Macaca fascicularis: one gene and its partner. The protein of the gene in region 1 purifies or fractionates together with the protein of each later gene. This does not show direct contact. Links are inferred from orthologs where the notes say so. Each region holds a gene or a part of one and is shown on either strand. Other genes may lie near its edges.

Evidence for each region. The genes of interacting proteins can lie anywhere in the genome.
Region 2: the proteins of NKAPD1 (region 1) and CSNK2A2 purify together in Homo sapiens (affinity purification with mass spectrometry; 5 studies listed by BioGRID and IntAct, counting the BioPlex papers as one, with this or other methods). This does not show direct contact. The link is inferred for Macaca fascicularis from reciprocal best matches to the Homo sapiens genes NKAPD1 and CSNK2A2.

The regions. Positions count from the first base shown.
Region 1 is NC_088388.1:111,007,087-111,014,569, forward strand, and holds part of NKAPD1 (uncharacterized protein NKAPD1), read left to right. Parts: 5' UTR 1-11; intron 12-659; 5' UTR 660-667; coding exon 668-736; intron 737-3,337; coding exon 3,338-3,438; intron 3,439-5,510; coding exon 5,511-5,660; intron 5,661-7,080; coding exon 7,081-7,134; intron 7,135-7,483.
Region 2 is NC_088394.1:54,259,212-54,266,694, forward strand, and holds part of CSNK2A2 (casein kinase II subunit alpha'), read right to left. Parts: intron 6,756-7,483; coding exon 6,672-6,755; intron 5,857-6,671; coding exon 5,746-5,856; intron 5,366-5,745; coding exon 5,264-5,365; intron 4,747-5,263; coding exon 4,646-4,746; intron 3,443-4,645; coding exon 3,294-3,442; intron 1,878-3,293; coding exon 1,801-1,877; 3' UTR 1,784-1,800; exon of another isoform or gene 1-1,783.

The sequences.
Region 1 (7,483 bases):
AGGATCAAGGGGTGAGTGAGCGTTGGGGTGGTTGCACAAAGCCCGTGCTAGCTACACACGAAAATATTCTTGTCATCTAGTTTTTGGAAGCTTCCGTACCAAGTAGGAAATAAAATGCTCCCAAATGGAGAAGTTTAGGACATCTTTGCATTTGATGTTTTGAGTCATCAGTTTCTGTTACTGTTGACACCTGTGGTTCCTGATACTCTCAAATCTACGTATTTGCTTCACTGCAAACTAATATTGGGATTGGAGGTTTGATTTTTAATCTAGACATTGATATACATCATTTGCCTGGGACTATGTGGCTTGGGGCATGACAAGTTTAAGGGAACTTCATCTACAAAATAGGGATGGAGATATTTGCCTCATATAAAAAATAGTTATGAGGATTAAATAAAATGGTGCTCATGAAAGCACTTAATTTTATGCAGTCTTGTGCATTTTCAAAGAACTTTAATGTACATTATCTCCTTTCATCTCACATTAGTGTGTTTAGGCATTTCCCTCTTTTAATGGTAAAGGGAAAACTATTATTTAGGATCTTTGACTTCTAGTTCAGTGATCTTTCCTTTACCTCATGCTTCTTTATAAAATTTAAGAAAAGATAAAGTAATAAAATAAATTATTACTAAACGTTATTTGTTGATTCATTTCAGATTGAAGAATGTCCCGGATTCCACTGGGGAAAGTTCTCCTGAGGAATGTCATCCGGCACACAGATGCTCACAATAAGGTGGGAGGTACAACCTAGTTACTCCTCAGTGCTTACTGAAAGTAAGCAGTGTGCCAAGCATTATTTTGGCACAACTGGGAGATACAAAGAATATTCTTGTCATCTAGTCTTTGAAAGCTTTTGTACAAAGTAGGAAATAAAATGATGAATACAATAGATAATTATAATACAGTTTGATAAGTACTGTATAACAGAGATATTTGCAAAGTGCTTTGGAGCACTAAGGAGGAAATAATAAAATCTACCCCGGGGAATTAGAAAAGATTTTACAGAATTAGTGGTATTTGAGCTGCTGACATTTAAACTGGTTCTTGAATAAGTATAAGCTTACTAGGTATGAAAGATCATTCTGGATAGAGAGCATCATGCATTAATATGGCAACAAAAAAGAGCATTAATCACTCAGGGCATGGCAAGAAATTTTCCAGAAAGCGGGGAATGAAGGGATAGGCGCAGAAGATAAGGCCTCAGTGGTCATTAGAGTTGGATTGTGATGTTTGGAACTGAGACTTTTTCCTCTAGGCAGTAAAGAAGCCATCAAATGTTTTTAAACAGGATGTGACATGATCATAGTTATATTTTAGAAAGATGGTTTGTCAGATGGGTGGGGAATGAATCAGATGGGGAGAAACAATAGGGAGATTAATTAGGAGGCAATTGCAGTATTACAGGTGAGAGGTGATGAGGGTTCGCGTGAAATTAGTGACAGCAGGGATAAAGAAGAGGAATTTAGGAGATAGAGTCCAAAGAACTTGGTGGCTAATTAGATGATAATGATAAGAATGGAATCTAATTCAGTTGACCCTTGAACAATGCAGGGGTTAGGGGCATCAACCCCCTGAATAGTCGAAAATCCATGTATAACTTTTTACTCCCTCAAAACTTAAGTGCCAATAGCCTGCTACTGACTGAAAGCCATAGCAATACCATAAACAGTGGATTAACACATATTTTTTATGTTACATGTATTATATACTGTATTCTTATAGTAAAGTAGCTAGAGAAAAGAACATTTTATTAAGAAAATCACATTGAGTAGGCTGAGGAGGAAGAAGAGGGGCTTGTTTTGCTATCTCACAGGTGGCAGAGGTGGAAGCAAATCTGAGGATAAGTGGACCTGCACAGTTGAGATCCCTGTTGTTCAAGGTCAACTGTGTAACCACCTATGTGACTGAGTGGGTGATGATGATTCTGTTAATTGGGATAAAGAACAAAAAAGGGGACAATTATGATAGGAAAGGTAATTTGGTTTTCAGCATGTTGATGGTGAGGTGCTTATAGGATGTCCAAGCAGTTGAAAATTCAGACTTGGAGTAGAGGAGAAAAGTTGGGGCTGAACATAAAGGTTTTGGGATTATTGATGTATAGGTTGATGATAAGAGGTCATGAGAGTAGATGAGGTCACCTAGGAGAGCACATATAATGAAAAGAGGGCCAAGGCACCTGGTTTAGTTTTCTTCAGTAAACTACTACTTTTGGTTTGATCATATTATTACTATCATATCACCTGATTTTTAAAATTATGGGCAAGGGTAAAACTGTTACCCCAAGCTGCCTGTGCCATTATGTTAACCTGCCCCTGGTTGTATAGTAAGCTTAGATTTAAAATGGCAACTAGAAAAAGATAAATCTAGCACAGATCTAATGAAATTATGCGGGAAGACTTAGAAATAAAATGTGTTCTTGTTCTTTGGGTAATCACATTCTGCTTTTCAAGAAATTCTCTAGCAGCCATACTGTTTATTTTATTTTTGACAAAAATTATGTTATGAGAAGAGATTTATAGCTTAGGGAGTTTAAAGACCTGTCCTTACTAGTTTTTTGACTTTGGTAAAATCTCTGAGCTTTTGTTTCTTTACAGTAAAATGTAATAATGGTAGCTGCTTTATTTTCCTCATGAGATTGCTTAAAGTTCAATTGAGATGATACAATTAAAATCACATTGCATTTTGGAAATGTGGCATTATCATTTGCTAATCGCAGCATAATTGCAAAATTGATAAGGTGATGTTTATACAGGGGTTTAAAAATTCTATTGGGGAATAATTCTAGATATTTGAGATTTACTGGATTGGACTGTTCAGCCACTTTCTAGAGAAACCAATTTGTTTTCCAGGTTCCTGATCATAGCCCAGTCTGTAGCCCAATAATTAGTCAGATTGTATTTTCAGTTAGTTACTTTTTTTTTTTTTTTTTTTGAAACCAAGTCTCACTCTGTAGCCCAGGCTGGAGTGCAGTGGCACAGTGAGACGGAGTTTTGCTCTTGTTACCCAGGCTGGAGTGCAATGGTGTGGTCTCGGCTCACCGCAGCCTTTGCCTCCCGAGTTCAAGGATTCTGCTGCCTCAGCCTCCTGAGTAGCTGGGATTACAGGTGCATGCTACCTTGCCCGGCTAATTTTTGTATTTTTATTAGAGACGGGGTTTCACCATGTTGGTCAGGCTGCTGTCGAACTCCTGACCTCATGATCTGCCTGCTTCGGCCTCCCAAAGTGCTGGGATTACAGGTGTGAGCCACCGCGCCCGGCCAGTTAGTTACTTTTCTGTAATGTAAAGTTATTTTTAGTAACTTATTTTTATTTCTTTCCTTTTCAAAAATTCTAGATTCAGGAGGAATCAGATATGTGGAAAATAAGAGAACTGGAAAAACAGATGGAAGATGCTTACCGGGGGACCAAAAGGAAAATGCTACCCAGCAGTTCAAGGTGAAGTTGCAGCTCTGAGAACTAAAATAATTCTCATCTTTTTCAGAATCATCAACTTTTGTTTAAAAATACTTTGGTATATTAAGGATAGATGAATTTAGTTCTGTGAGTCCTTAAGCCTTTCCTCTTTCGTAAATCTAGGCATAAAGATAATGGCTATGATGCATATGCCCCCACTCTCTGTACTTATTTACAATGGAGAGTTAAAAAATTCTCCCTGAACAATTATGAATGTGTAGGGTTCTGTGGTTTCTAACCTTACCTGATAGCTTTTAACTTAAGATTTTCTACTGGAATCTTGTGGTCACTAAGCTGATCAATCATTCCTTTCTCTATTAATTTTTCATTCTTTCAGGCTTTTCTTTTTGTAGCTGGGACTGCAGGTGCATGCCACTCTGCCTAGCTATTTTTTTTTTTTTTTTTTTTTTTTTTTGTAGAGGCAGTGTCTTGCTGTGTTCCTCAGGCTGGTATAGAATCCTGGGCTCACACAGTCCTCCCACCTCAACCTCCCAGTGTTCGGATTATAAGCGTGAGCCACTTGCCCAGCCTCAGACTTTTCTTCACCCTATGTATTCACCCTCTTCACCAGATCAACAGCCTTTTCACATTACCTTAATAGCTTGAGTGTAAATATGAAGGATTATGCAAGGTTAGTTGTGTTTTCCTTGTGGAGAGGCCTAGGAATGCTTGAATAATTGGGAACATCCTTATATGCTTGTAAGTGTAAGAGCTACATATATAAGAAATACTTAAACTCTTTAGGAGCAGGGCTTGTGATTTTCTCATTTGCTGCTGTATTCCTGCCCGCTAGACCAATACCTGGTACATAAGAGGCCCTTACAATTTTTTTTTTTCTTGAGACGGAGTTTCGCTCTTGTTACCCAGGCTGGAGTGCAGTGGTGTGGTCTTGGCTCACTACAGCCTCCACCTCCTGGGTTCAGGCAATTATTCTGCCTCAGCCTCCCAATCAGCTGGGATTACAGGCACCTGCCACCATGCCTGACTAATTTTTGTATTTTTAGTAGAGACAGGGTTTCACCATGTTGGCCAGGCTGGTCTCGAACTCCTGAGCTCAAAGTGATCTACCCGCCTAGGCCTTCCAAAGTGCTGGGATTACAGGTGTGAGCCACTGGGCCTGGCCCCTTACGAATTTTTGATAACTGATTAGCAGCTTACTGGCTAGTTAGTAGAAGTGGTAAACAGAAGCTGGATTAATGGTTCTCAACTTTTTTCCTACTCAACTATTCTCATGGGTTAGACCTTGTTCCCACTGTTATTGGGACCTCTCTATAGTAAGTTGCTGGTTTGCACAGAGGGAAGTGTATTTCAGAATCTCTAGGGTAGTTTGAAGTGTCCCTAGCTATGATTATGTTCTGCTTCCCTCTTTGCATGCCTTCCTAGTTGAGAATCAGCGAGTGAACTATCACATGACAGTCCAGAGTTGATTTCATCTCTCTATGCTTTGCAATAGGATGTGTACTAATGGTCAGATTTTTTTTTTTTTCCTGAGACGGAGTCTCACTCTGTTGCCCAGGCTGGAGTGCAATGGCGTGATCTGGGCTCACTGAAACCTCTGCCTCCCCAGGTTCAGGCAATTTTCCTGCCTCAGCCTCCTAAGTAGCTGGTACTATAGGTGTGCGCCACTACACCTACTTTTTTTGTATTTTTAGTAGAGACAGGGTTTCACCATGTCGCCCAGGCTAGTCTTGAACTCCTGACCTCAAGTGATCCACTTGCCCTGGCCTCCCAACGTGCTGGGATTACAGACGTGAGCCACTGCACCTGGCCTGGTCAGATTTTTTTCCACTGGACTTTACAAATGTACAGAGAGGAACAGATAAAGTGCTGGGATTAGAGGCATGAGCCACCACACTAGGCCTGGTCAGATTTCTTCCATTGGACTTTACAGATGTATAGAGAGGAACAGATGTCTTTACCTTTTTTTTTTTTTAAACAGTATCATGTTGTTTCCTTCCCCCTCAGCTTGTTCCATGAGTTTTGTGCATGATGTTCCATAAAGTAAACTCACAGATTGCTTTTACATCTAAAAGTTCTTCTGCTTTCTCTTTTAGCCGGATGCGCAGTGATGGTTTTGATGAAGAAAGTCAAAGAGACTATTGGAGGCCAAAGAATGAAATTTCTGGGACACTGGAAGATGATTTTCTTAAGGCAAAATCCTGGAACAAGAAGTTATATGATTATGAAGCTAACATGCCAGACAGGTTTGTGATTAATTCCTGTGAGCATTAATATTTGGCCTGAGAATGTGTACTTATCAAAATTAATTGTCCCCACAAAAAACTTGTGTACAAATGTTCATACCAGCATTATTAATAATGGCCCCAAAAAATAATGGCCAAGTAAATCCAAATGTCTGTCAACTGATGAATGGGTAAACAAAATGTGATATATCCATACAATGGAATATTATTTGGCAGTAAAAGAAATGAAGTACAGATATATGTTACAACATGGATAAACCTTGAAAACATTATGCTAAGTGAGAAGAAAGAAGCCAAGTTCCAAAAGACCACATATTGTATGATTCTATGTATGTACTATGTCCACACATAACTGTATGAATCCATTTATGTGGTAGGCGATTCCATAGAGACAGAAAGTAGATTAGTGATTGCCCTGGGCTGGAGGCACTACACTTTGAATTCCATGATATGTGAATTTATACTTCAATAAAGTTGTTATTTAAAAAGAAATAGGCCAGGTGCAGTGGCTCACGCCTGTAATCCCAGTACTTGGGAGGCCGAGGCGGGTGGATCACGAGGTCAAGAGATTGAGACCATCCTAGCTACCATGGTGAAACCCCATCTCTACTAAAAATACAAAAATTAGCTGTGCGTGGTGGCATGAGCCTGTAGTCCCAGCTACTTGGGAGGCTGAGGCAGGGGAATCGCTTGAAACGAGGAGGTGGAGGTTGCAGTTGAGCCGAGATTGCACCACTGCACTCCAGCCTGGCAACTGAGTGAGACTCTGTCTCAAGAAAAAAATAAAAATAAATAAAAAATAAGGCTGGGTGCGGTGGCTCATGCCTGTAATCCCAGCACTTTGGGAGGCCGAAGCGGGCGGATCATGAGGTCAGGAGTTCGAGACCAGCCTTGGCAACATAATGAAACCCCATCTCTACTAAAAATATAAAAATTAGCTGGGCATGATGGCACATGCCTATAGTCCCAGCCACTCGGGAGGCTGAGGCAGGAGAATCACTTGAAACCCGGAGGCGGGGGTTGCAGTGAGCTGAGATCGTGCCACTGTACTCCAGCCTGGGCAACAGAGAGAGACTCCATCTCAAAAAAAAAAAAATTGTCCCCATGTAGACAGCATGATATTATGAAGTGTTTTTGGAAAAGTGCTTCACAGCTAAAGAGCAGAGTGTAAGGTTCGTTAGTGTTTCTTAAAACAATGGCAAGTTCTCTTACAAATGGACCAAAGAATCTTCTGTGTCTTAAATGATAGTGCACAATACAGGAAATGTAGCTGTTACTGAGCTGTAATGTGGGCTTGGTTCTACCATATCTCTATTTTGTGTTTATGTTTGTGTATGCATGTACTCCAAAGTCTTTCTAATTTTAATTTCCAAAAACGTATACATTGCTTTAACAATACATATGGTGTGTCATATTACAGATGGGGTCACAGTGGTTATAAAGAGTTATACCCTGAAGAATTTGAAACAGACAGGTAAGGAAAATGGGCTTACCAAAAGAAACTAAGATGGTACAAAATCTGTATTATAAATTGATTTTCTAACTTTTACAAAGAATATACTTGCCATTGAAAATGTAGCTAGAGAAACAATAGGTGATTTAGTTAGGAGGTGATCCCTGTTTTGCCATTCTGTGGTTGATGTCTGGCATGTCTGTAAGCATTTTGGTTTTTATATATAGTACTCCATACAGTAACCCAGTATGGCAGCTCAGAATTTTTACCTTCATTTTAAAGAAGAGGAAACAAAAACTCAATGAGAATATTAAAGTGTTAAAGTATATGTTAAAGTGCTGATTTAAAATTCAGATGTTAATCTCAATTT
Region 2 (7,483 bases), on another chromosome or scaffold:
GACATATCAATATAGGTTTAGCCGAGAGCTCACATCTTGCTTTTGATTTTCAGGTAGAACAAATGTTTACATTAGTATACAGCATGTGCAATGCAAGCAGGCAGCATTGGTATGAGAACCTTAACTGAATGCATTTCTTGGCTTTGGGATCTTATTTTTTATTTTTTACTCTATAAACTCAACTCTATAATAAGAGAAGAGATTCATTTGTATTTTAAGTTCCCACAGACCAAACGACAAAAATAGAATCTACATTTAGAGATAGGACCTGCTACCAATACCAATAAGATTTTATTGGAATATGGAATGTAAACAAATGTTTCAAACAAACAATCTAACCTTATAAAAATGTATGGCATTATTAAATAGTTAATAAAGAAATCCTAAAGGGTGATGTGGTAGACACCTCTAGTTCTAGCCTAGGTGTGTGAAGTCCCCAGAGCTGTGGCATGGCCCTGCAGCTGGGATGAGGGGACTGCCTACAAACCATGTTGCTGCTGAGTCCCCCAAATGAAATCAGCCCTATTTTTGTTTAAACAAACTCTAGCTTTCTCTGCTAACATGAAGGTTTGCACAATGGATCCAACACTTGCTCCGGGAGCACCGTTTTCTTCCCCAAGCCCCTTGTATATTCCTCTTAGTTGCTTGAGTTTCAGATGACCCTGCCCAGACAACTCTAGTACCTGCATGCAAGACAGACTTATCTTTGCCATCACATAAATGAATCACATATCAGAACTCACAAATGCATATTACAGTGGGAAACTGTACCTCATGGGGATAAAAGGAGGTGGGAGAGGGATATCTTTTTCGGTCTTTCCTGAAAAAATTCTAATGGGATGTTTTCCTCCCTCGCCTTGCCTGAAGACTGACTTTCCAGCTTTAGTTATGGTTGTGAACAAAAAGGTCTCTGTTTCAGAGAGGTGTATTAAAATAGGCGCACACATAGGGATGTGCTGGGAAATGGTGACGTTCTCTTACAAGGCTGCCAAAAAAAAAAAAAAAAACAGAAAAAGCAACAAAAAAATAGCAACAAGATTTTATGGTAAGGCAAATCAACAAAGGTTATAGTGAGCTCCAAGTTATGCACTTAGCATGGAACTTTTGATGATACCCACGGACCAGTTCATGGCATTGTAAGGTTTCGTGATCCCTCCTGACATCAAAGAGGGCTCTTGTGAAAGTGACTGCAGTTTGCTCCCAAATGAATCCACTTGGAGGAAAACTGCAGGGATGAGGTACATTTCCTGGAGAGCTCATGTCATAAAAAAATACATAAAACATGGATTTGTAAAGAGCTTAAAAAAAATACTGTCACTGTTTTAATATCTCCTTTTTGTAAATGAGGCTGGTGTGTCAGTATAGACTGCTGACATTTCGCTAAGACTTGAGCCTGAATTTCACCAAAGGAAACCCAGACCACCATGGAATAGATAGGAAGTCAGACATTCAGAGCTTGTTGACTGAATGGGTTAATTCAACAGTGGTGCCCTGTTAAACAAAGGTAAATGTACAACAACTCCGAGTCTCTATCTCCCATGCATTCCAAAGGCAGAGCTCCTTCAGATCCTGAACTAGGTACATCCCCATGCTGCCACAGTGACAGCTCCCTGGAGACTAGCACTGGGGAGTTTCTTTCTTGCTTTTTGACAGACTTTTAGGTCTTTACTCTTCTTTGCATTTAGAAGGAATGATAAGAATTTCTTTTTATCACACTGTAGTTTTCCTTCAAGGTTTGTGTTTGGTTGGTTGGTTTTATTGGCAAGCATCAATGCCGCATTACCCGTCGCTTTCCAGTCTTCATCGTGCTGCCGTGAGACCACTGGAAAGCACAGCATTGTCTGCACAAGGCTGGGACTGCTCCTTCACCACAGGGTCTGCAAGAAAGCAGGAGGAAAGTCAGGCAATCGGGGTAGTGAATGCTGAGAGAAGCCCATGGCAAACCCACCCTTTCAACTGAGAGTGAGACAGACTGATGGGCAAGCCAGGGTCAGGGGGGCAACAGGGGAGACGGAAATCACGGAATTCCAGCCACATAAAAACCAAACACTGAGAAATGATCAGGGGAATCGTTATTGCAGTCAACTCTTATACTTTCTCAGAGTACAGACTCAACTGCTAAGAGGCATAGAAACCCTAATTTCCCACTGTTCAAAATTTCTACTTTTTTATTTTCTTTCAATACTAATATCATCTCTAATCCCTAATTTCTTCAAAGCATGTAGAATAATAAGCACTTCAAAGGAAAGGCGAGTAAAAAGAGCCATTAGAAGACCTATCCATTTTAAGCAACCGTAGTTTGAAATTTTTTAAATTGAAGTATGACATATATTCAGAAAAGCAGAAAGATCATTAATGACATGTCATAAACATCAGTATTCCTAATTTGATCTAACTCGGGTAAAACCAGCTTTCTGTCCCAGACACTGGAGTGGGGACATCTGAGTTCCCTGGGGCTGAGGTCTAGAAGGCTGAAGGCTTTTCCATTTGTGGTCTCCCTTATGCATACGGGCCACAGGCTCAAGACCACAGCGACACATTCTTCAGGCAAGAATTTAGTTCATCTCCAGAGGAAATCAAAGGAGAGGGAAAGACAGCATATTGGTTAAGCCAGAGACAACGACTTTAAGTGTTGAATGTTTCCATCTTGATTCAGAAAGCGAACTGAGGTAAGTCTCTCAGCCGCCATGCTCCCCAGGAAGGAGACTGATAACAACAGGAAGTTTATTTGAAACACATATTATCAGTGGAAAGAACCATACACATGCAGAACAATAAGCAACCACACAAAGTGAATGCGCACACACTTCTAAGTGAGCAGTTCAGTCAGGATTTCAGTGAGGTCTCTCCATACCTATTTATCTTTCCTCAAATTCCTTTCATCCATCCATCTGTTCATCTCCTTCTTTCAAAATATACAATGGTTATCTTACTACTTTTAACTAATTACTAGTTTTCTGAAGGGAGAAATAATCTTCAATTAGGTTTCCACACAAATATATATACGTTTGAAAACAAATTTTAGAAACTTGTGATCCATTAACTCAGGGTAACAGGGAGTAGTCAAACAGCCTGAATTCAAGGGAGATACATTCAGAGAATAAGCAAACACCTTTGGTGATCAAGAAACGGATCTACAAAGTTGTTTCAATCATCTACAATAAATGAGATCAAATTCTGGAATAATCCAATCCAAATACCCTAGAATTCTCCTGACTAGTCTCAAAGATAAAGAGTGGAAGATTTGTTCTCTTGAACGAATGACTCCCTGAACACAGTGCCTGGAGACTCACAGAAGTATGGGTGCTCCATGGCCTCTTTGGCAGTCAGTCTCTGTTGATGGTCATATCGCAGAAGTTTGTCCAGAAGATCTAGGGCCTCAGGGCTGACAAGGTGTCTGTTCTCACTATGGATAAAGTTTTCCCAGCGTTTCCGTGAATGTCTGAGAAGAAAAATGAAACATCAGTAATCAGAGACTAAATTCAACAAGAATCCTTATCTACTAGGGCTAAAGCCAACAAAATCTTAGAACAATGTACTGATTACAAGCTTGTTAAATCTCTAACTGGTGCCTGCCTTACTGCCCCATAGTTACAGCATAGCATCCTGAAACACAATGGTGCTCTGTGATTAGATAAACACAACTAGGTAAAACTTCTATATCTGAATATCTGATTTAGAATATGTGGAACCTTTCTAGATTATTTTTTATGCGGTAGGCTTTTAGTCAATTCTGGGTGGCATGCAGGACAGTGGGTAATTTTTTTTTTTTTTTTTTTTTGAGACGGAGTCTTGCTCTGTCACCCAGGCTGGAGTGCAGTGGCCGGATCTCAGCTCACTACAAGCTCCGCCTCCCGGGTTTACGCCATTCTCCGGCCTCAGCCTCCTGAGTAGCTGGGACTACAGGCGCCGCCACCTCGCCCGGCTAGTTTTTTGTATTTCTTAATAGAGACGGGGTTTCACCGTGTTAGCCAGGATGGTCTCGATCTCCTGACCTCGTGATCCGCCCGTCTCGGCCTCCCAAAGTGCTGGGATTACAGGCTTGAGCCACCGCGCCCGGCCAACAGTGGGTAATTTTTATCGGTCAGCAGATATATTTCCCAGGGCTAGCCTCAGGAACAGCGAGGTTACACAAAATACCGTTTGAAAACTGTTAACAAACTGTTTACTTCTCAACATTATTGCACTGTACCTGAAAACTCAATGTACTTTAAAATTTGCTATTGTATAGAAAAACCATTACGGAGAACAAGAAGAAATTGTAAGTCTCTCCACCTTGAAGAGGTATGAAGTAAATAAAATAAAGTAAAATAAAATAAAATAAAAAAAACTAAGTCTCTTATTGAAAGAATCATCGCTCTCCAAGTTTGGCCATTAAAAAGAAGCTTATGCTGTACCAGAAAACTTTTTTCTGTAACATTATGATTTTTGTTTTATCTTTTCTACTAATAGGTTATCTCTCAGAGAAGTAAAATGATTAAAAGACATAAAGCCCAAATATCTCAATAAGTTAAAAGAAAACATGCATAGGAAAAAAGACGGCTATTTCCATTTTACTGTAATTAGAACAGGAAAAGAAAGTGATTTTGGCTAACCTTTCCACTTCTGAAACGGGGTAAGGTAAAGCACTCTTTCTCTTACTTACTGTCCCAGGATATCGTTGAAGTGTGGATCTAGGTCTATGTGATACTTCTTCAGATACCCATACAGTTCTTCTGTACCCAGAACCTTGGCAATGCGAACAAGCTGAAACACAAAACAAACTGACCAAATCACTGAGCTCAGAACATACTGTGAGCCCATGAGGACGCTTTACCAAAGAATCAGAAGACTTCCACACCACTAACCCTCTAGGGACCAGGTACAAACACGAGTCCAGGGCAGGCAGGCAGACCCAAGGACAAGAAGTTCACATGAATGCAAATTTCCAAACTGCCTTTAAAATAACACAACTTATAATAATCTTCTACAGATGGACAAGTACAGGGCATCACAATCTAATGGCTAAAATCTAGTTTTATGAGACAAGGAGGTGCCTGACTTCTTCACATTCACTTTGGAAGGTTGGCACAGATAGCATTATCTGCCTCTACTTCTGCCGACCTGGCAAACACAAAATTCTGTGCAATCTTTATCTTGAAGAAAAGCTCATATGTAGACACTGAGTGACATTTAGTGGCTCAAGGATAGTATTCCTATCTACGGATGCTATTTTCTTGGCATTCACCCCCAAATAAGTAAGAACCAGATTGTGTTTGCTCACCTGGTCATAGTTGTCCTGTCCATGGAAGAAGGGTTCCCTTCGAAAGATCATGCTTGCTAACATACAGCCCAAACTCCACATGTCCAAGCTATAATCATACATCTAAGGCAATAAGGACAACCCATCAGCCAAGGGCAGTAGAAATCCATTTTTCTGATATAAATTTCTTTTTTAGATGAGATTGGGCATGTTCAGGGTGGTATGGCCGTAGATTATTTAAAAAAATTTTTTTTTTTAACTTTCTGGCTCCTAGAAATGTTCTGATCTGAATTTCTAGTCTTCATTTAATCTTTACAGATATTTTAGATTTAAAAACTTCTCTGTCCCCCAAAAAACTAGCTAAGAAAAAACTAAAATTAGCATTTTAGGGTGAAATAATGGCTGGGTTTTGAGTGTATCCAAACTGACTAGATAAACAGCAAATCAGAAAAAGCCCTAAGCAAGTATAAATAGCCCAGAGTAGCTCTGCTAAACAAGTTTACCTGATAGTCCACGAGGAGCTCCGGTCCTTTGAAGTACCTTGAGGCTACACGAACATTGTACTCCTGAGCAGGATGATAGAATTCTGCGAGACCCCAATCTATCAGTCGCAGCTACAAACAGGACAGAAAAAAACATGTGAAAGGAGTGTTTCTAGGGGCCTATGCCTTAGAACAAGGCCACATCACATTAGGTAACAATCATTTGTCCACACAAAAAATGTGAGCAGGTGCACTGGCTTAAAGATGACATTTTCAGCAACTGTGCAAGAGGTCATTTTTAGAGTAGAGCACTTGAAATGCTTTTTGAAAAAATTTTAAATTATCCTGGTTCATTCCTCTCTCTAGATCAACAGAGCTCAACCTTTTTTTCTGCCTACATTCAGAAACTGTAGGCAGTTACATTTGGTAACACATTCTCCCATTATTCATAGCTTTTTGTTATAAGCTCCAGGCGTCAGTGAAAGGGCTGGGGGGACACATCCCACTCCAGGACTGAAGCACTGCTCCAATGATTTATTTGTCTACTACTAGATGATCCATTTACTCACTGATTAGGGCCAACAGAGATGGATATCAAAAATAGGGGGGACCTAAGTGTTCTTTTAAGGCCAGGCAGATTGGTCTGCAGGTCATCAAGAAATGAAGCAGAAATCACCAGCTGTAATTTCTTTCTGAGGCCCTTCAGAAAACTATGACCAAAATAAAACAAGTGACTATAGTTAGCCACTATACTTAAACCGTCTACTTTCCTTGTGTACTACGCTTTACAAAGTAGAAATCGACAATGGAGATGGGAAAAATCACAGTAACAAAAGTTTGCCCAAAAACCCACCATGGGTCTACAGAAACCTTCAGGGCACTGGACAGCTTTCTGGTCTGCTCTAAGCCTTTTAATCAAGCTTGTTGCTGCCTGGCTGTAATGGTACCTTTTTCTGTTGGTGATCTATCATGACATTGTGAGGTTTCACATCCCTGTGCATGATTCCCTTGCTGTGGCAGTAATCCAGAGCCTATTAGGTAAGAAAGCACAGATAATAGTAAGCAACCCCACTACCATCCCCCAATGCAAGCACAGTCTTATTATTTGTGACACCTTGACTTGAATACAGTCCCCCAAGGGGCAGCTTGCTGCCTGTATTGAAAGATTTAAAAAAGTGTGCTTCAGAAGGCACCCCTTGCTCTCTCGGCATACTATAGCCAGTAGAGAGAGGGTATGAAGGGAACGGCAAGGGCTAGGAGGAAGATTTTTTTTTTTTTTGAGATGGAGTCTCGCTCTGTTGTCCAGGCTGGAGTGCAGTGGCACAATCTCGCAATCAACACTTTGGGAGGCTGAGGCGGGTGGATCACTTGAGGTCAGGAGTGCGAGACTAGCCTAGGCAACACGGCTATATTAAAAATACAAAAGGTAGCTGGGTGTGGTGGTGCACGCCTGTAATCCAGCTACTTGAGTGGGCTGAGGCAGGAGAACTGCTTGAAGCCGGGAGGTGGAGGCTGCAGTGAGCCAAGATGGTGCCAATGCACTCCAGCCTGGGCAAAAAAGGCAGGCAGTGGGGAGGGGGGTGGTGTGTGTGTGGGATGATAAACCAGACTTTGGAACCTCACTGGAGTCACCTCTCATAATGGTTCAAAGGACAGACCAGCATCTATGTGGACATGAAGAATGACATTCAAATACATCTTTCAATATGGCTTATTTTGTACACAAAGGTCCCACGTGGGTTTTCTGGATGACCAAGCA